4 linked regions of the Drosophila melanogaster genome follow. The protein of the gene in region 4 interacts with the protein of the main gene of each other region in a pairwise test. Each region holds a gene or a part of one and is shown on either strand. Other genes may lie near its edges. The genes, in order: Epac, CG8204, CG6576 and Cyp1.

Region 1 (5,854 bases), on a different chromosome or scaffold from region 4:
TTGAAAAACAATTTTGATCTCTGGTCAATGTTTGATTAGCTCGAATCAAGTTCAACTTAAGCTTAAGTACTGCGCACACACTAAAATAAATTTGGTTATTCCGTAATTGTATATAAATATTTTACACGCTAAATGCTGACTATTCTGTTGATTGATGCAATAGTAAATGCTTTAGAATGCTGACTATTCTGTTGACTGTTGCAATAGTAAATGCTTTAGAAATAGCATGTCATCAGGAGAGATACTCCATCTCACATATGAGCTTTTTCATTAATTTAGATAAGGGTAATGTTATTATGTTGGCTGTGAAAAGATAAATACTGTGGTGTCCAGATAAAATGAAACCGCTCTCTTAAATGGAAAGTATAAAGTCTGACATCAACTAAAAAAAAAAAACAATAGTCCCGTGCCTCTGTTTTATTCCACTAAAATAATGTTTGCACAAGACTAAACTCCATCCAATTGCAAAGCACATATTTACGTAAAAAATGTATGTGCATTAAAACCTCTGAAATGCGGAGCTTTCAGCAGAAATATATATATTTTCAATTAAATTATAGTATTTTTATACTTTTACAGCGGTTTAATTATTATTTTTGCACGACAGAAAACACTTTTCAGGCATAGCTCATGAAATGAATGGTAAATTACTTTAATGCTTTATCATAATATAAATTGTATTTTAAGAGTAGTATCATTAAATGGGTTGGTTTATTTATAGCGAACTACAATTACATTTATTTTGCATTTCAATTCACAAGAAAGATATGAATGTCATGATTAAAGTCCTGTTTTTATTTTCCTTTGTTCGGTGTCCAAATCAGGAATGATGAAATAATTGCTGTGCAGAAGGCGGCTCATTGAGTTACGGAGAATTGATATCGAGATTTAATAAAGCGGATAATTCGTGGCAGGCCGTGTCCACAAAGTGGATGGATTGGCCATTTGCCAGCCATCAAGGATGGAGGAGGATGGGGCACCCCGATGTTGGTTCTTGACAAATGAATGTCGAGCATGACGGCAACATTTTAAAATGTTTCGCTTCTCGTTCTCGTTTTGTTTGTACTCCACGTCGAGCTTTTCATTCAACTTACACGTACGTCGATGTGTGAGTACGTGTCTGCTCCGGGAAAACAGAGGAAAGAAACTTGTGCACTCAGCTGGGAAATGCCTTAAATTTAAGAGAAAGCATTCCGTTTCAGCTAAGGAAACTTTTGGAGCTAAAAACTTAGAATTTAAAGAAAAGTTCCCCAAAATCGCTGCTCATTAATTGTGCAGCTCATTAAAAAATCACTTACCGTTTGTCCATTGCAGTTATCCATTCCATCGCCATGTTGAATTTTTATTTAAATCTCCCTCGCTCGATTAGTTTCGCCGTTTGACACAAGTTATGATACAAGTTATGAACAGCACATTCCACAAACACCAAACCAAATAGTTGCCCCAACTTTGAGCAGAGCACATAAATCGAGGCGGAGCGGCTCCAAAGTGGTGCAAATTAATTGCCCGTTGCGGCCCAGGAAAGCGAAATCAAAATACCGAGTAATGGCGGCGCTCGCACCCAGTTTGCAGTCACCTCAATCCGCGATGTGGCCGTCAATCTGCGATTCCCTTTGAATACGACATGCCAGGTGGCTCGGCCCAGCGAGGCACTCGAAATCCGCTTTTGGGAGCGTTGGAGCGAGCTCCTTTCGAGTTGGAGCCAGGGGTAAGTGGACGTAGCTCGTTGATTAGGCGAAAGTTTGGAAATGGATTTCAGTTTGAGCTCCCGTTTGGCTGGCGACGAGGATTTCGATACCGAGCAGCTGCAAAGTTAAATTGGGCGAATGTGAGTCTAAATTCACTATACAGCAGTCGTAAGTGTAAGCTAGCCTTGGGATGTCGGACTCTAATATAATTTATATAAAATGCCAGCAGCAGATGTAAAAGTTTCCCTCTTTCCGATTTTTTCAGCCACATAACTAATGTGAATTGCTATTGTTGGACTTGCCAAAAAGGGTTTTCCCAACTGCTGATAGCTGCCCAGAAGGCCCCACTGCGTCAGTGTGTGTGTGCTTGTGTGTGCTTGTGGGTATCTGTGTCGCCAACAAAAGCAAATGTTATGAATAAGCTTTGATGCCTGCTCGGCCGGCGAGGGGGTGTTGTGGTGCAGGAGAGCGGTGAGGGCGGAGCACCAACAAACTGTTGGCGCACAAATCTAACAATAGATTTCCAGATAACAATAGATTACTCCACACACACGGCGTATACTTAATGCGCTGTCAATGGGCATTCTAATTTCCCAGTATGCCCAAATCCAGATCGTATGGCATGCGAAGGCACGATCTAACCGCGAATTCGTTACCGAACTCCATGTTTACCCATGCGCTGCACTATCTGTATCTGTACCGCAAACGAATGCGTATTTTGTTCTGCGTCAATGGGAAAAAACATAATTTATACCACCCCATCAGAAGTGCAGTGGCTTTCGTCAGCGAAATGGAACTGCAGGCGGAACAAGTGTTCGAGTGACGGCTCAAAAGGAAAGACATCGCGAAGGACCATCAGCTCGCATATGAATAATTAAGTATTCGCCATCGTGGCCAGCCCGCGAAGGCGCCCGAATGTATGCCACGTTTTCTGACGTGTCGTTCGCTCGCTGGCTGGCTCCACGTACATAAATGGCGACAAAAGTCCCGGGGGCGATAAGACTGATATTGGCGATATTCCGAGTGGACGACTCGATAAGCGGCCACTTTCGAACGAGTTGTCCATCCTGCCAGCAAATGCAATTAGTGTCCGGAGTGGCGGTTAGGGAATTGAATTGAACAAGCTTTGAAATCGCCCTGGAAACAGATGTTCCATGTAATTTCCACTTTAGGGTTTCAAACTTTGTTTTAATTAAGCAACCGAGTGAAAGCAAAACTTTGAACCACAATAGATGTGATTTAACTGCCCACTGCAGCCGTTGCCAAACGGAAAACTTAGCCATTTAGCTTGGTCATGTGGCGAAGAAACATCATGAATCGAATACTCACGCATCCTCTGAACGGAGAAAAGGATCAGAAGATGCAAGAGTAACAGAGATCCCGCAGCAGAATTCGATATTTTAAAGTCCTTCTTGTTGGCAAACACTTTTTGGCACGGAAAATGAACTTTTAGTTTCGAACCCACGCGACATACCGAAATCCAGCGAATACCTGAAATCGAACCGACTTCAAACGAATATTTAAATGAACCACTTGCTAACGGCTTTCAAGCACTTGGTATATACAGTTCTTGGGCAAACATTTCAGTTCTCGACCTCCGCTGAAGCGCTATCGCGTCCGATTCATTTGGTAGTCGCGTCGCAACTGCTCGGCCGCCTTCCATTTTCCGACTTCCGAGCGGCGCTCTTCACCACGCTCCTGTCCTGCGCCTCGCAGGTGGGTTTCCCGGCGGAGATTGGGGGTCGTGGTGGGTTGTTGGAAGTTACTCATTGCCGATGACTGCAGTGTTGACGGCTGCGGTGCGGTACTTTTGGCCTTGTTCCGCCTTCCCGCCGTCCCTTTCCGTCACTCACATATTTTGGCGCGTTTTTTAGCAACAAGTTTGACAAATCTTCGGCACAGTGGGCTTACATCCAAATCGGTGTGGTCAAAATCCAAATAAAATTTGGCACACGAAAAAACGTAATTTCAAAGTAGTTCTAATTAAATACAGTTTCTTTGCTTATAGTGTTTGAAATTATACTACTTTTGTTATAATATTTATTATAATTTGAATCCCATTATTTTGTGATATGAATGGATTTCTACTATTCTTTTACGATTTTAAACTTAATATTAATTTAATTTAAATATTATTCTTATTCATTTACTGCCTACACTTATATACGATAATCAGCAAAGAGATACAATTTGTATAAAGATGGCTATAATGATATAGCATTTAACATATAAATTTATGTTCTTGTTTGATTTATTTGTTTTACTTACTTGCTTATTGCTTATTAGTATAGATTGTCTTAAGTCCTCACATGATTAGTGAGAGGTTTGGTTTTATCTTTTATATGTTAATTGCGCTGTTATGTTACTGTTACTGCATTGTATGGATTCATCGCTTCTAAATAAATAAATATAAAAAAAAAAAAAATATAGATTGTGTATTGGGCTTTAAAGATGAAAAGTTAATCGAATCTGATATGTTGTATTACGAATAATATTGCTTGCCTAGTCTACTTGAAATAACAATTTGTTTTGACTCTATTCACTCGAATGTTTAGCAACATTTGCTGCTCGCTCTCCTATTCTACGTGCTCCACAACAAACTGTTGAGCGTTATTTTGGTGAGTCGTCGCAGTTGACCAGCTCTTCAACAGGCACTTGTCCGTCCGCTCGGCCGTCGGGCGAACAGCGGACAACCCCGCACCGCGCCCCGGGCGGAACTGCCTCACACCCTCGCCTGAAAGTGCACATAAAATGGAATCGCAATGCGAAACAATCAACATGTCAATTAAATAATGCACACCAGCAGCGGACACGAAACAACGGACAGAATTTACGGAGCGAGTGCGTGAACACCCGGACTTTTGGTCACTTGGACACTTGGACATTCACTGACGGCTTGTCACATTCAGCTAATGAATCAACGGCGATTCAGTCGTGTTCGCTCCTGAAAAGGTGCGAAAATGCAAAGCTTTCCTTTTGTTTTCCACCTTTCCCAGAGCCGCTGTTGTTGTGGTCGCCACCACAATATTTACGGCACTCTCGAGTGCCTTTATTTCCGCATGAATCATTCCCAGTTTCGGTTCCAGCTCCACAGGCTGCCCCAGCGCATATAAATTCTTGGCTTTTTCCCCCAGCTGTTAATGCACAGAAAGAAAAATAGTTAAGGTGGATCGTAGTCTGGTATTCCTAGATAGGTATTTCATTATACACAAACGGGTGTAGCATAGGATAAGTGCAAAGATGAATTACTTCTACTAATATAATTAGACATAATTAACAATAACGGTATAGCACTAAATAGAACTGACGTAATAAAAGTGGAAGACTACTTTCCCTGTGTTGCAGGGTTTTTTTTTTTTTTTGGTTTTTCATGGGGTCTGCCTGTCGCATTTTTTATGAGCCTCCCCCATGTTGACAGGACCACCATAGACATTTTTTCGGGCTTGCCAATGCGGAATGAAATTCCAAGAATTTAACGGCCGCTTTGCCTGCTGAATATGTCATCACATGGCGTTGAATCCTGCTCCACCAGACACAACACAACGACCCGGCGGTAATTATGATAAATGCGATCTTAATAAACTCGGCTGGTGGGCACGGCTGGCTTTGAAGGCCTTCATGGCCAAGTGCGGGCTCATCATGGCCGGTCCTAATGCATTTTCTTTTCATCATCAACGCATGTGGCACCTGGTCTAATGGCGCTTCCTGCCACCCTGCCTGTGGCCCATTAGCAGAAAATGCTGTTGTACATTGATCGACTCGTCGTCAGCTAGTCGTTGTTGTCGAAGTCCTTGTCCAGGACTTTGGCTCACCATCCTCAGCCAGTCGCTTCAAAAGTCAGTCACTGGTGCCGTCGGAACGTGTTTACGACCTGATTGCACTTACCCACCCACCTGCTGATGTCATTATTATCGCATGTGTGGCACACTGGCTCTTTAGTTGCATTAATGGTTATTCAATCAGCGTTTAACGCAAATTGCCTATTAAAGCTGCCCTGTGTTCCTGGGCTCCCTTCATGCAAATGTTTGCGTATTATGGCCATGTAATTTGATTAGCTGATAAATGAGGTAACGCCAGCGCACGTGCAATCAGGAACGCCAGCGCCACTGCCTTCATGTTTTGACTGGCTAATAAGGCACTCGCATATTCCGCAGGTTCCTGATAGA
Region 2 (4,226 bases), on a different chromosome or scaffold from region 4:
AAAGCCATATGTGTTGCATGTAATTTAATATTCATTATATGCACTATAAACGCTGTGCCACTACGATTGCATGATCTGTCAATCTGCCCAATTGCCAGGACTATCTGCCCCCTTATTTTTCCACCTTCCAGTGTTTTCCTCGTTTGGCTTTTCGGGCGATAAAAACGAAGCGAAAAGTGCCGCTATCTATTAATATCGCTTTTGGCTTTTTCGCTGGCGGCTAGCTGGTAACTGGTAGTTGGTAGTTGGTAGTTGGTATTTGGTAACTGGGAAAAGCTGGGAATGAAAAACGCTGAAAACTCCTAACGAACGACACCTGCCCTCGGAAAATGCCACTACTGCACCCCGCGAGAAACTTTCGCCCCATTTGGTGGCGTGTGTCTCGCTTTTCTTCTTGCTGTTTGCATTGGTCGCCCCTTTTCCTTTTGGCGATACACTGCTGCTGATGTTGCACGAATGTTGTAAATCAAAAGTAGGCGAGTCACACGAAGGGTCTTCCTGCCCCCCCGAAATCCCTGCCACCGCCGATAGCCGCTGCTTGCCAGCGCCTCTGCTGCTGCGCCTATTTGACTGGCAGGCCGAGCGGATAACGCTGGCAATTATCGCGCTTGTGCCTCACGAACAGCGGAAGCGGCAGAGGCGCCACATCATGTTACCCGGCCCGATTCCCCAGACCTTCCACATCCCCAAACTCTTTGTTAGCCTGCATCCTTTGCTTTCTTTTGTACCACTCGTTTTTCTTTGTGCAATCCAATTGGTAGCGCTCAGAAAACAAAGCAAAAACGATTGAAAATAACAACAACCAGTCCCGGCTACAAGTCCCCCAAAATATGGCAACAGAAACAAGAAGAAAAAAAACGATTCATATACGAGTATAGCCATGCACCTAGACCACCCCATCCGGTCAGTCAGTCAGTCATTGAAGTCATTTATTGCCACCAAAAGTTTTTCGCTGTTTGCCATACCCTCGCAGAGGTTATTACGGCTCAGACTAGGAGCAGGACACGAAGGATCTCAATGGGTGTAGTTATCGTATACAGGACTGTAAGAAGTTATAACCCAATGACATTACCTATAGGACTATCATTATTATCAAATCTTAATGACACACATCTATATGTGTATATTTCATAGCTGAATATGGCCATATAAATGAGATGTTTCTCTTGCAACTAAACCTACTTTTTAGGACTATATATTGTGCATACACATAACACGTTTTCATTAGAAAGAAAGCTTAATAACAAAGGGCATTCCATGCTTCGGTTAACCAATCGAGCCTCACTGTTGTACTTATTTTTACTTCTGGTTGTACTGTACTTGTCTTTGGAGCTGGAGCGGATCTGAACGACTCCTTCCCGGGAAGGACCGTTCCGTTTCAGTACGTTCCGTGTGCAGGATATGTTTACAATTTGCGGACACGCCGACCGTCATTTGATTGCTCCCCTCGCGCTTGTCGAATTCTCGGTTAATTCGCCAGGTGGCTTCAGACTGCGCATTGCCATCGGCGGCGGGGGGAAAGGATTGGGAGGCTTTGGGGCGGAAAAATGGGAGGGCAATGATAAGCGTTCCTCGTTTGTTTGCTCGGAAGCCTCACGGAAGATGACGTGCCCGGGATGGCCCATAAATGAGACTGGCCAAAGCAAACAGACCGGATACACAGGATACATTCAATCAAATAAGGCTATTCGTAACCGGAAAAGGGCAGGACGACTCTATGTCTTCCTCAATCTGACCAAACACTCCGCTAATCGTATGGTTAATAACTAAAATACCTGTGGATAATCTTTAAACGTTTTCAATATGTAAGTCAGTGAGATACAGATACAGTAGATTGAAGCTTTCTGACTATATAAAGTATTTACTTATTTATGATGAGCAAAATTGAATGTTGATGATGAACATTTTATTTGTTCCAGCAAATTGTTCAAATTCAAATTAAAAGTAATGGCGCCAAAGATAGAATTCATCTGTTGACGAAGGCTGGCAGCTACAGAACAATCTAACTAAGCTATGGGATTCGTTTCAACACACTCGTCGTAGAACTCCACTAGTTTTGTTTTCTCACTAAATTAACATGCAGCCCCGCGATCTTATGCGCATTTTAATATTATTCTGCTTGCGTTTTGCATTTAACTTTTTGATTGTTTACCTCCAAAAACATAACGCCGTTCCAGTGGAGCAGAAACGGCTTGGAACCCTCGATAGAGGCAAAAGCTGGAGGCTATAAAACTCGCACAGCTGAGTTTTATTTTGCACGCGACATTGAATTTGATGAGATGGAAAAATGCATTATTTGCGTAGATAACTTGAGAAAATACAAGTGCAGCAAATGCTCGGCACCCTAGTAAGTAGCTATTCGAACAGTTCACTACGGAGATAATAAATGTCGCAAAATGTAGCTGCTCTGTGGCTTGTTATAAGACACACAGGGATTCGCCCCAATGTGCGACAAGGGAGTCCGACTTGAAAAAGACTGAAGTTGGCTACCAGGAGGAACCTACGCTTCATGTGCCCTTCCCCACCGACGACACAGTTGCCGCGGAGAAGCTCCAGCAACTAGGTAGGTGTTTAAATTCGCAATTATACACATTTCTCATAGTATGATGGTTTCCGTACAGAAAACTGCCAGGAACTGCGTAATTTGCTCCACAATCCACACCTGCGTTCGCTGCTCCAGCAGATTGATGTGGCCATCAATGCCCAGTCGGCCATGATGGCCGCCATGCAGGAGCCACTCTTCGTGGAGTTCGCTAATGCCTGCCTTCAAGTCGTCGAACCGATGACGGATGCTGAGCGCACTGAATTTGAGTTGTACTCCTGAATTAAGTTGACACACAGTCTCAATAAAACTAAGCCTTTATTTTGTAACTAATAGTACTGTCAATCCTTGGCAGCTTCTAGAGGAGCTTGCATTGAAGAACTCCTGGAAACTTCTCATTGAAATCCGCCGGTAAGGTTGAATCTTTTCCATAACCAGGGAAAACGTACAACTAATTATTTGGCTCGGCCATTTAAAGTTATCTATCTCAGCTGGCATATCAAACTAGTCATCAGTCTACAGCTTCGTTCCTTGGCAATCAAACTCAATCAAAGTAAATTGAAACTGGATCCGAGTTAAAAGTGATTTTTGGATGCTTCATGTGCAACTTGAAAAGCCTATGTTCCCCTTGCACTTTCCAGGTCATGGGGATGGGATCCTGTAATGAAAAATATTAGAAACGAAAGCTAATATAAGTTGTGAAATACTTAGACCTCATTAGACATGAGATACGTGTTTAGTTCCACATAAATATTAAGTGCTGTGGTACGGTTTTCTCCCAGTTTCTTCGCATCGAATGTGAACTCCTTAAATCCGAAGGTGCAATGGTATATACCCAGGACCTCGTGTGTGTTTAGGTTTTGTATTAAGGTATGAAACTTAATTTCGTCCACACAAACCGAATTTTGTATATAAAATTCATTGACATTAATGTGAAGATGCTGATACGCATGCATACCAAAATTAGCCACCTTTAGGGTCTTAATAGCCACATTTAAACCGTAAGTTTCACAAAATATGGATGTATTTTGGCTTATCTCGATCATATTTATAGTGCTTCTCTTCGCAGCTATGAGAATCTCTCTCAGAAATCCGTATCTAACGTGACCACAAAGAAATAGCTTCTTCAAGTGAGTTAGACGTTCCAGTTTCGATAGGAACCACACCATCATTTCCTCCTGGAAGCACTGCAGCTGCTCTAGGTTTCTAATCCCTTTCCAGGGCAGTTCTGTGTTCGAAATCTGGTCAATATCGAAGATACCCAGCTTCAGGGATTTTATTTTTCTGGTTTTCAGGATCTGTATCAAGTTGGTGACATTGAATTTGCTGCAGTAGGAGACCGTGAGGTTCTCGAGAAACTCGAATTCATCAAAGTGTTTGCCAGTAAACTTTCCATGGGGGCTAAAAGTTGTCAGATTTGGAAAAGTTTTCAACATTCTTGGCACGTCCGCATCGTTTAAGTTAAACGAATGCGTGGAAAATCGAAAATCTTTAAGTTTTGGAAAACTACAGCTGGTAAGTGTTTCGAAGTTAGATCTATTATTCATTTTGAGCCGCAGAGTGCTGAGGATTTGTTGAGTACTTTCCAGGAAGAATAGCAAATCCTTGTCGCTCAGCTGCATTTCAATCAAGGATATATATGCACATTTGTTATAAGCACGCCACACATACGGCATTAATTTCT
Region 3 (4,718 bases), on a different chromosome or scaffold from region 4:
GCGATGGAAAATGGGAAAATAGGAAAAAATAAGAAAAATAAGAAAAATATCAACGCATAAATAAAGCGCGAGCCTCGCGTCCGATTCTGTCGCATTCGCCGGCTGCATTCCCAAATAGATCGGGGCGCTATAGTCTATATCTGCTCGTATGCCCTATAGGCATCGACAGTATATATCCCAAACCTGCCCGGTGCGTGCCGGTGGATTATGTAAAGTGACACACGGCCGATCCCGATACCGATCTCGGAGTATCGCCCAGCGCAAATAAAAGCAAAGGAAATAATAGTTTACTTAGCAGAAAAGAAATAAATACAATAAAATAAAATTGAATAAAATAGGGGAATGCAGAGAGAGTGTCGTAGAAATTTGTCGCACGCGCGCGATTTCAGTAAGTGCATCTAATTTATTTTGCATCTATTGCAATTGAGAGTCGGCATCCGGCAGATACGTTTTCGTAATTGTCGTCAGCGGTTCGAGTTCCTCCGTTTCGATCTCGCGCGAGTGTTTGCCAGATTGGATTACCAAACCCAGGCCATACCAAAATAAATTATACACCAATTTTGAAAGGGCGATAAACATACATTGTGACCGAATTTTGATCCGATCTGCGATCGAGGATCGCTTGCCAAGAGCAACGTAATGTCGTCCTACCGCAGTTATGTAAGTACTAGTTAATGCAGCGCCAACTATCCGTATCTGTATCTGCATAATACCTACTCGTACTATATAGTGTGTATCTCGATCTTTGTATCTTCGCTCTGTGCCTTTTTGCAATTCTTCGCATCCACGGATTTTGTTTATTTCTAATTTGTTGCCTTACCCCACACACAAGAGTATTTCGCAGATACATACGTATACGTTTTATATGGCAGATAAAATGTATCTGAATGTTCGCTCTCGATGTGGTGTGGGCTCCAGATCCATTGATAAACAATTTAGATACAAATTTGCTCATTGTCTGGTTTTTTGGTTGGGATTTGTGTCTAGTTGATTGTTCTAATTTCCTATCCACACAAATAGCACAAATTATGGCCGAGGTGTGGCTACTGAATGAACGAATTGTTGTGTTTGAATAGCAAACCAATGCATGAATAAATGGCTTTTACTTTGGCAAAGCAGGTTAAGTTCCGAATTTTAAACCTATTTAACTTGATTTATGTTAGTATTTGCGTATATGCACAGTTGTCAAAGGAATTAATTTTGAGTTATTTGACATACTTTATGGCAGATTCATTATTGATACTGACCAATGACTGACAGTTCCCAAGTAAACATTTTGTGTTATTTATTGAACTTATCATCATATTTATTTATATTATTAACCCGTTCGACATCATGTGATACTTGTGAACTTTTATATAAAAAGTGCATTATTTCTATATCTATCCTATAATATAAATACACTTAATTTCGGTTGTCATTCCCAAACTTCCAAATCGCTTTCTACTAATCCCCTTTATGTTCAACTCATTATATCCTTTTGTTCCCAGGCATCCAGTTTATGACTTTAGCCTGACTTTTGACTCATTGAGCATAAATCAATTAAATATTTTTCGGGTCTTAGAATCTAATAAACTGATCAATTTATGGGCGGCAAACAACAAGTTTCCACCCCATCCCACGCACATCTACCACTTCATCTTCTCCCGAGTCATTTCTCCAATTATATATAGAATGTTTCTAAAAATGTTGGGAGTAAAGCAAAATGATTTCTGTTTCGTTCACGTTGACGCAGTCTCTTTTTTCCTCATTGGAGTTGGTACTTTGTGTAGGATTTTTATGGCCAGAAGGAAGTTGTAAATATTTATGACAAGCATAAAGTTGAAAGTTCTCCGGTGAGAGCACGCACCACCTAATTAATTAACAAAGTGTGAATACTCATGCAATTTGTTTGTGAGGGGAGAAAGTAGGGGAACGGTAATGGAGAAACAATAAAGTTGCAAATATAACTAAAGCTTTTAACTTCATATTCAAAAAAAATAAGTATATATTATCATATAACTAAATTTATATTCATAATGTATTAGCGAAAGCGGTAATGATTAAACATTGTTTCGATTATTGATTTCATTAGAAATATCTCTACTCGTCACACACAATGCGATCACAATCAGTTTTCATTTGAATTATTCATCAAAACAGATCAAAATTTGTTGTAGTGTAGCACAAAGGAAGGCGGTGATAGGCGCTTCTCAAATAGGCTTCGAGATAAGGATTTATGAATCAAGCTATCTGAGTCCGAGATTATCCACGCACACTCACCCGTCCACCCAACTGCCACCCAAGCCCCCCACAACACTCGAACACAGACACAAGTCAAGGACATTTTTTGATAAAAAGATAAAAAATGACACGGCGTCGACGTCCACGATGTAAGGTGAATCCCTCGATAGCGCTGAGAAAGAAGAAACAGGAGACTGCACCCAGTGCAGAAAAGGTAGAGCCACAACGTCCACCGCCCTTGCCGGATCCGCCCAGCGAAGAGCCACCGGAAGTCGTCAGCACTTCGAGCGTAGAATCTGAAATCGAATCGGATTACAAACTCTTCCCGGAACTCTACGATCGCCAGCCGTCGATGCCCACGTTTGCTGATCTTTTTGGTCAGCCCTCTTATGAATCAGTGTTGCAGGAGCCCGAGGTGGCATCTACCTCCTCCTCAACGAACACAAATGCCGCGGGAATACGTAGTACAGACGATGGGAAATTCACTAATATTCCGGCCACGATGCTGTCAGATCAATTTGGGATCATTGGGCTGCTGGCCGCCATGAGGACTACGCAAACGGATCCGGGCGCCACGCAGCTGGTCTTTGGTGAGGATCTAACCACCTACGGACTAGATTTGGCTGCCCAGGGAGACATTTATGTGCATTTCAATGGGCCTCTAACCCGCGAACCACCTGACAGAAATTCCATGGACTGCGCCCTTGAGATGGGAATGCGTGCCATGCGTGATTCGATTATCAATGAACCACCGAAGGCTCCGTGTTGGGATCCATTTGAGCCAGAGACCCAAGATCTGGGACTTGTGGGCAGTCTTGAACCGGATGAGTTTACGAAATCCGATCCAGATACGGAAACGGATCCACCGCCAACTACTGATTTGACTGAAGATCCGGAAACGGATCGAGATGATAATCAGTATAGATAACACATTTGGAATCGGCGCCAAGGATAAAAAAGAAAGACTAGTCCCAAATAGAATAGCAATTTGGCAGTTGGTTAGATCTTTGAATACTTGGTAAAATTGTTGATCTTCGTGAATTGGTAGCCCTTCTGTATAAGAACTTGTTTGGCTTTAAATATAGAATTGGCTGAGGAGTAAAAACGGGAATAATTATTTGTTACGAAAAAAAGTGCGATTTAGTTATTTAAAATAAGGTTCGATTTAGTACATATATGTAAATATCGAAAAAAATTAATAAACATTCGGAAAATATCGAAAATGAATAAGCTCGGAATTGATTATAACTCATAAATTGGTTATAATCACTATAATTTTCAGATTAACTAATTTAATTTGTTTGGAAATTTATGTTTGAACGACTTTCTGGGGTTGAATATTTCATTATCCTTTTAAGCGCCGATCTCCACATAGTTGAGTTTCCCGAAACGCATTTTCGACACTTTCGTCAGAGCAAACTACAATAGAAAACGTATTTAAAAATAAATCATTTGTCTGGCAAGCGAATATTCAGTCGCCACTTCGAATCATCTGGGGTCACAGTCTAAATACTTTGTGAGTGGATGGCTTTCCTGGTCGTTCTTAATGGGCTGTGGCTACTGACAGACAGGCGCATTATAGCGCATCCTGCTCCTGATCTGCAGACTCCGAGATTCTGCAATCTCCTAATTGAGACCGCATAATAATGCTGTCAGAAGTGCAGCACTCCGCTGGAATCGGCGGTGAACAAAGTACACATGGCGAAGTCATTCCAGAGAAGATCCATAGGCCCATCCACATCCACACCATCACGATCCTCCACTCTTTTTCTCCTCCGGCTGAGTGTCTCCGTTTGCTTGTTTTGCACATTGTTGGCTATTTGTGTGTTTGGCATTCCATTTCACTGAGCGAAAACAATTAGCCGAGACTGTCTGTCTTTCTTTCTTCCTCACTCCCTCTCGCTCGCTCGCCAATTCTTCACATTGGGCGGGCGCCTGGAAATGTAATAATATTATTTTTTATTCCCGGATAGTTGTCATTCGCCGGGATGGGAGCCACTTGGGAAGAGCCCCCTATTTGAAGTGATTTACATCGAGAAATTCCTGAAAAGTATTTTCATGGGCGAATTCCACTACAGTCATGGTAGTTCATATAGGGCTAAGCTAAGTGGGATTCGATTAAGTTTCATCAATGAATACACAATAATTTATAATTTAGTTTAGCACATTTGCTGTAAGTATTGGGTTCAACAGCATTTTATCTCGTCATTAAATGTAATTTGCAATAATTAACCCAAAACGTTTGAGTTTGCCAAAAATCTGAAAACTGGCAACACGAATTTTGCAATTTTAAATGGGTGTCTGATCCTCAAAGATGTAGTGCACAAAAACCGCCAACCCACAGCCCCCCACAAACCAACCGGCCATCCTCAATTAGGAAAGGGCAAAGTGGTCGGGGCCCCCGCAATTTTCATTATATACGAGGAAAACTCAACGTGTGTCTCGATGGACGAGGGCAATCGTCTAATGCGCTGCGGCCGAGATTAGAAGGCAGA
Region 4 (6,005 bases):
GAGAACTATTTCACTGCCACGTTCTACAACTTAACGACAATCGCTCCGCACGACTGGAAATCGTATGAAAAGATGCGTCATTTGGCCAACAAGGTGCTGCAGCTGCAACCCATCGATGACCACCTGCCCAATCAGATAATTGACCAGGTAACCAATTGAATCATCAATAAGCAATCTCTTCTATTAACCAAACAATTCTTTCCCACTTTCAAGGGCATAGACGTGCTGCAGATCATGCGGAATATACACACTTTCGCCTCCTCGTATGCCTACAACATGAACCTGCAGGTGTTCGTGGAGACGAACAGCAGGAGCAAGCACCTCGACATCATTGGCACCCGGCACGTGGCCAACTCGGTGCAGACGCACGGCACCGGTATCATCAACACCACCGTCAACTTTATATACCAGTTTTTGCGCCAAAAGTTTTACACCTTCTCCACCTTCCTCCACGACGAGCAGATCAAGTCGCGGCTGCTCAAGGAGCTGCGTTTTCACACGGAGCACAAGCACAGCAAGTCCTATCAGTCGTATCCCTATGAGCGCGCCGATAGTTTTCTTAAGAAGATCAGAAGGCTAGGCTGCTCCAGCAATGGCGAGACGTATATGGATCTTTTCAGGAAGGTTATCACACAAGTCGGTAGGTGGTTAAAGACCATAATTCAAGAAAATGCTTAAAATATAAACGTAAATATTGCTTTTAGGCAACGCTGTTGGCTATGTGCGCCTCCTGCAGGCTGGAAGCAAGAATGCCAACTTCCGGAATCGCTCGTATAAAACCAGATTCGACAGCAACTTCAGTTGCGGGGGCTCCAAAGTGCACGAGGCTACGGAGGGTTCCATCAGGGAGTACGAGAAGAGCCTGGGTCACATGAAGGAGTGCTATTCCGATAGCACAAATTACTTCAAGGTGCAGTCTACGATCTTAACAAGTTAGGTAACCAGCTTAACCCATGGATTTATATTGCAGCTTCTTCTGCAAGGCTTTCAGCCCTTTTTGTGCAATCCACATAACCACCACCTGCGAACCTTCTACCTCATCACACCGGCGCTCATCATGAACTACATTGACTACCGGGTCAAGCAGAAGCTAAAGATCTACAAAAAGGACCAGACCAAGATCTCGCTGTTCGAGGATGGCTTCGCCATCGGCCTGGTCTACATCCTCAACATGCTGAACCAGCAGACGGAGTTCCATGAGCTGGGCTGGAGCCAGACGATCACGCAGCACCTGAACGCGGAGCGCTCCAAGGTGCGCGACATTTTGGCGGGCCAGCAGCGGACGGCGCCGGAGCAGCTGGACGAGAAGCTTCACCAGACAGTGGCGATAACCGAACGACATGTGAACGCCTACGAGCATGAATACAATCTATTGTACGCCACCTTGAGTAGCTCCGAAATATTCTTCCAATAAAATATGTCCATTTACCAAAACCAAAGATCCCAGCAGTGACAACAAACAATTGAGTAGTTGGTTGCCGTTTATTCAGATTTATTAAGACGAAAATACAATTCCGATTCCGGTACATAGCGTAGAACGTTGGTATATATATATATATATGCAATTAGATAATCAGCATTACTAATACTATTATTAGTAGTAAGTAAGCCAACATCAAAAGATCAAACATTTTTCTAAGCCCCTCTCGACTCTTGTCGTCTCATTGTTTTTCTTCTTTGTTTTTTTTTTTGTGAATGGAAATGTTAAAGTTACAGATTTAATGCATATTATATAGCCAATTGAACGCTTTCTGACATTGGTGGGCACTAATTCTATTCACTTTTGGCCCCCACATACAATTGATTGGCCAAAGGAAACCCAACATGTCTATTGAAAATATGTTGGTTTGTTATGTATTTTTCTCGTAATATTACAGTACAGTAATTGGTAAAAAAAAATGTTTTGGAGAAAATGCAAATGGTTTTCGTCTTAACAGATTTTTCTTCTTGCAATGTTGCTGTTGCTTTTGCATCGCACCTTCTTAAAGAGAACCAGAGTTAGCCACAATGATCTTCTTGGAGGTCTTGCCAGACTGCGATCCATAAGATTCGATCTTCTTGACCACATCCAGTCCCTCGACGACCTCGCCGAAGACGACGTGCTTGTTGTCCAACCAGGCGGTCTTCACAGTGCAAATAAAGAACTGGGAGCCGTTCGTGTTGGCGCCAGCGTTGGCCATCGACAGGATGCCGGAGCCGGTGTGCTTCAGCTCGAAGTTCTCATCGGGGAACTTGTTGCCGTAGATGGACTTGCCGCCAGTGCCGTTGTGGTTGGTGAAGTCGCCGCCCTGGCACATGAAGTTGGGGATGACGCGGTGGAAAATGGAGCCCTTGTACCCGAATCCCTTCTCGCCGGTGCACAAGGCGCGGAAGTTCTCGGCGGTCTTGGGCACGACATCGGAGCGCAGCTGCAAAATACAAACAAAAGGGTAGAAATTTCGTTAGTAAACAAGAAATTAATGCTAACAAAGTATGACTCTTTTTCAGTTCTTCAAGGTTTGTTTATCCGAACTCGGATGACCTTGCCACTACTTTTTGCTTATTTATTTCTTTTTTTTTTTGAGGACTGGACAATTTTCTGTATAATTCATGTTGAGCGGCAGTAAACATGATCAGCTGTTTTTTGACGCCGCTTTTTTTTCATCGCCATTTTTAGCCCTTTGATAATATACATATGCATGTTCATATGTATGTGCATATCTATACCAAGGGAAAAAATACATATAATGCACAGAACTTTGCAAATGCACTAGAATTTGAGCAATTTTCCAATTCACCCAGTAATCGAGACAATTGTATAAATTAGTCAAGTAAATGCTTTTCCTAATGCCGCTTCTCTATAAATCTTCAATTGTTTAGTGTAGTAATTCGGCGTGAAGTGCAGAATTTTTCGCGCACTGCATGTATGTTCAAGTGTGCGTATGTACATATGTATGTCCTATTGGAAGGAAAATCCTAGACATGTGGCTTGGTTTACTTGGCGGGCAATGACTTTATTCCCAGGCCACTAAAAATATACATCAAGCATTCGCGTTTCCTATTCTTTTTCTCTATTCAAAAATTAGGTGTACATTACATCATCGGCGGAATTAATAGTGAGTTCATGTTTGCAAACGGGTTTACAGAACTCGCGCATTCACACCCGAATATCTCTGTGTGTACACTGTACATCTGCGCGTACATTACCCGCATGCACACATGTACATATGCAAGCACGACAAGAACATACAGACATACGCGAGTGACCGCTTAGAGGTTATGTTCGTGTATTGATCTGCATGTGTGTATGGGTATGAGCCACACATACGCAGACCACGCCGGAATGTACATATATAGCACACATGCACAGATGCATATAAAATACCGGTAAAAATTGCACACCATTTCGGCCAAAGTTTGCCGACACGTCAATTAAAATAAGGAAAATTCCATTCTATAAAGATAATACCACCAAATGGCCGATTTGCGGGGGTTGGTGCTCCTGCTTGCCTGTTTGCTCAAAATTCAGCGATGTAGAGATAATTATAGAGATTTTCCGATTAAACGCGCCTGTCCAATTGGGTTGGAAAATTGAAAATTTACCCATAGCGCATTGTCATGCAATTAGTCATGGAAAGTAATTGCACTTGTCGCTTATAAATTAGAGGGCGAGTTTGCGCTGTGTGTATATTTGGTACAAGTTTTAAATCCGTAAAAATAAAAAGAAAAAAACGGTATGTACTTATCACCTGAGGCAAATAATGTAAAACACAGTCTTAGCTTTAGGCGTAAGAAATGGCTTTATGGGAAATCACGTGTTTTTCACTTTCTGGTCAAATGTCACAAAAAAAAAAACCTCAACTTAAGTTTAAAATTAAAAAAAAAGGGCAAATAACTCACCTCCATGACGATCCGACCGAGGGGCTCGTTGTCGGCGGTCATATCAAAAAACACCCTAGGCAAAGTACTCATCTTTGACGCTTTCGAATATTCGCGAACAATCTGAATTCCAAACTGCAACTGACCCCTATTCACACTGCACGCTGACGAAGCTAGGGTTATAGATTTGTTAGCTAAAATGGCGGACTCCGCAATCTGAAATGCCGCTGCCGACCTGTGCCGAAACTGTCGAATCAGAGTTGCACAAAAAGAGACCATCGTGTATGGCTTGCGACCGCATGTACGATACTACGATATCGTTCCGTGCGTTCCATTCCGCGCGTTTCGCTGCTGCTGCGGTCGCAGCAATTGTTACATCACTTTAGGGCGCCCATAAACGCACTTTGTGCTGCCCATTCCCCCATCAAAACGGATAAATGGTCGCGTTCATGCGCCCTTTTTACAATTTTTATAATAAATAAATACATTTACTTGCGCTCATTTGAAACCGCCAATCGAAACAACGCATTCGCCTTCGTTAAGTAAATATCTTACAAAAAATTACAGCATCGTGATCAGCGATCACTCCTAAAAATCAAATATTTTTTTGCTTTTAAAGAGCCATTAAAATATAAAACTTAAAGTTGAAATAAACACAAGACTATTAAAAAATTAAGATAATTGAAAAATAGTGGTCACTTTGAAATAACCATTATTCTAAAACAGCACATTGTAAACCCAAAAATCACGGCGAAATCACAGGATTATTATAAAGACTTTTTAAGCATAAATTGTTAAAGCATATATGCAGCTATTTCTATAGCTTTTTAAAAACAAATGTATTAATTATTTTTATACATGTATTCATTATTTTAAATTACTTGTTTTAAATATTAACGTTTCGATAGTTCAATTGTGCGTGTCGCATTTTCTATTTTGCCATTTTAAACTATAGTTAATAACTAATAATAGTGTTTTACAGTATTAAGTCTTACAAACTTTTAAATGTAATTTGGAGAAACGATGGAAAATAAATAAATAAATATAAATAATTTTTGTTTAAATGGCACGATAAAAAATAATTGACCTAACAAGACAGCCTGTTTCAAAATTATTTTTCGATTACTTGAAATGATTGCTCACAAATAATCAGCAATTATCGGAACAATGTTTTCAAATTTGTTTTCCGCTTTTTCTCGCGCCTTTTGTTGTGGTTTTTCTGCCGCGAAATTTGAAAATGGCGTTCAAGGTGAAAACTAGTTGGTGATTCATTTCTGAAAACGTAATGAATGCAGCTGCACGGTCTCAACTACTCTGAGTACTTTTCACCACCTAATTGACCTTTAACTCCCAGTTTAAATGAACTCGTCCTTCTTTTTACATTTATCACTTTATTATTACAATAATGATACGTATATTCATTTACAAAACATATCCATTCATTGTTTTTACATATATAGCATTTCATTTCCCAAACCCATACCCGATCCACTATGAAATAGTGAGATTACCATTTGCCTCCCTCAGTGAATTTAAATGAAAGAGATTAATACAAACCCAACTCGAATCAGAACCGCAAGCCACGCCATTTCATTAAACGGAAATAAAGCATTAGATAAACGCATGACAAAGGCCAGAAGAATTTCTGATTCAGAAGTAAAACTAGAAGGAAGTATAAGCATTGTTTACAATACTACATACATACATACATCAATTGGCAATTAATTACATAAATTAGAAGCACCAAACAAAAACGATATGGCTGGCTAGCCTGGAGCAGCAGCACCTTGGCATGCTTATCCCCGAAAGCGGTTGAACTATGGACACCTGTTCCACGGCTACATGCATATTAATATAAGCGAAGCAAAAGCTTAAAAACAGTGATTATCGTGCTCTTTGATTAATCGCTTTGGAATGCCAAAGTCAAAGCGTTGAGAAGGCGTTTTACAGATTCGGATTCGAGATATATAGCGGACGCCCAGACTTAGAACTAAGAAGACTTTTGTAGAGCGAATCGCAGGATTAGCAAAAAGATGCCCACATGGGTCCACACTTGATGGAATACCCGACTCCCTCCGCTGGCGGCAGCCGCAACGAGCGGCGATTTCTGATTGTCACGGCACATCGTTTGGTTCCGAATGAAGTTG

Evidence for each region.
Region 1: the proteins of Cyp1 (region 4) and Epac interact in a two-hybrid assay, tested with the Drosophila melanogaster proteins (one large-scale study listed by BioGRID).
Region 2: the proteins of Cyp1 (region 4) and CG8204 interact in a two-hybrid assay, tested with the Drosophila melanogaster proteins (one large-scale study listed by BioGRID).
Region 3: the proteins of Cyp1 (region 4) and CG6576 interact in a two-hybrid assay, tested with the Drosophila melanogaster proteins (one large-scale study listed by BioGRID).

Annotation. Positions count from the first base shown.
Region 1 is NT_033778.4:6,795,608-6,801,461, forward strand, and holds the start of Epac (exchange protein directly activated by cAMP), read right to left. Parts: upstream 3,335-5,854; 5' UTR 3,163-3,334; intron 1,806-3,162; 5' UTR 1,334-1,805; coding exon 1,299-1,333; intron 1-1,298.
Region 2 is NT_033778.4:15,571,787-15,576,012, reverse strand, and holds CG8204 (uncharacterized protein), read left to right. Parts: upstream 1-2,021; 5' UTR 2,022-2,279; coding exon 2,280-2,347; intron 2,348-2,402; coding exon 2,403-2,563; intron 2,564-2,621; coding exon 2,622-2,824; 3' UTR 2,825-2,869; downstream 2,870-4,226. Other genes in the region: CG30466 (uncharacterized protein), read right to left, coding at 3,087-3,200, 3,256-4,226.
Region 3 is NT_037436.4:8,753,836-8,758,553, forward strand, and holds CG6576 (uncharacterized protein), read left to right. Parts: upstream 1-2,153; 5' UTR 2,154-2,347; coding exon 2,348-3,151; 3' UTR 3,152-3,332; downstream 3,333-4,718. Other genes in the region: Fhos (formin homology 2 domain containing), read left to right, coding at 640-660.
Region 4 is NC_004354.4:16,316,200-16,322,204, forward strand, and holds Cyp1 (cyclophilin 1), read right to left. Parts: upstream 4,172-6,005; 5' UTR 4,138-4,171; coding exon 3,880-4,137; intron 2,409-3,879; coding exon 1,983-2,408; 3' UTR 1,474-1,982; downstream 1-1,473. Other genes in the region: SWIP (strumpellin and WASH-interacting protein), read left to right, coding at 1-147, 214-640, 705-910, 971-1,414; CG9917 (uncharacterized protein), read right to left, coding at 5,849-6,005. UniProt on the Drosophila melanogaster protein: PPIases accelerate the folding of proteins. It catalyzes the cis-trans isomerization of proline imidic peptide bonds in oligopeptides.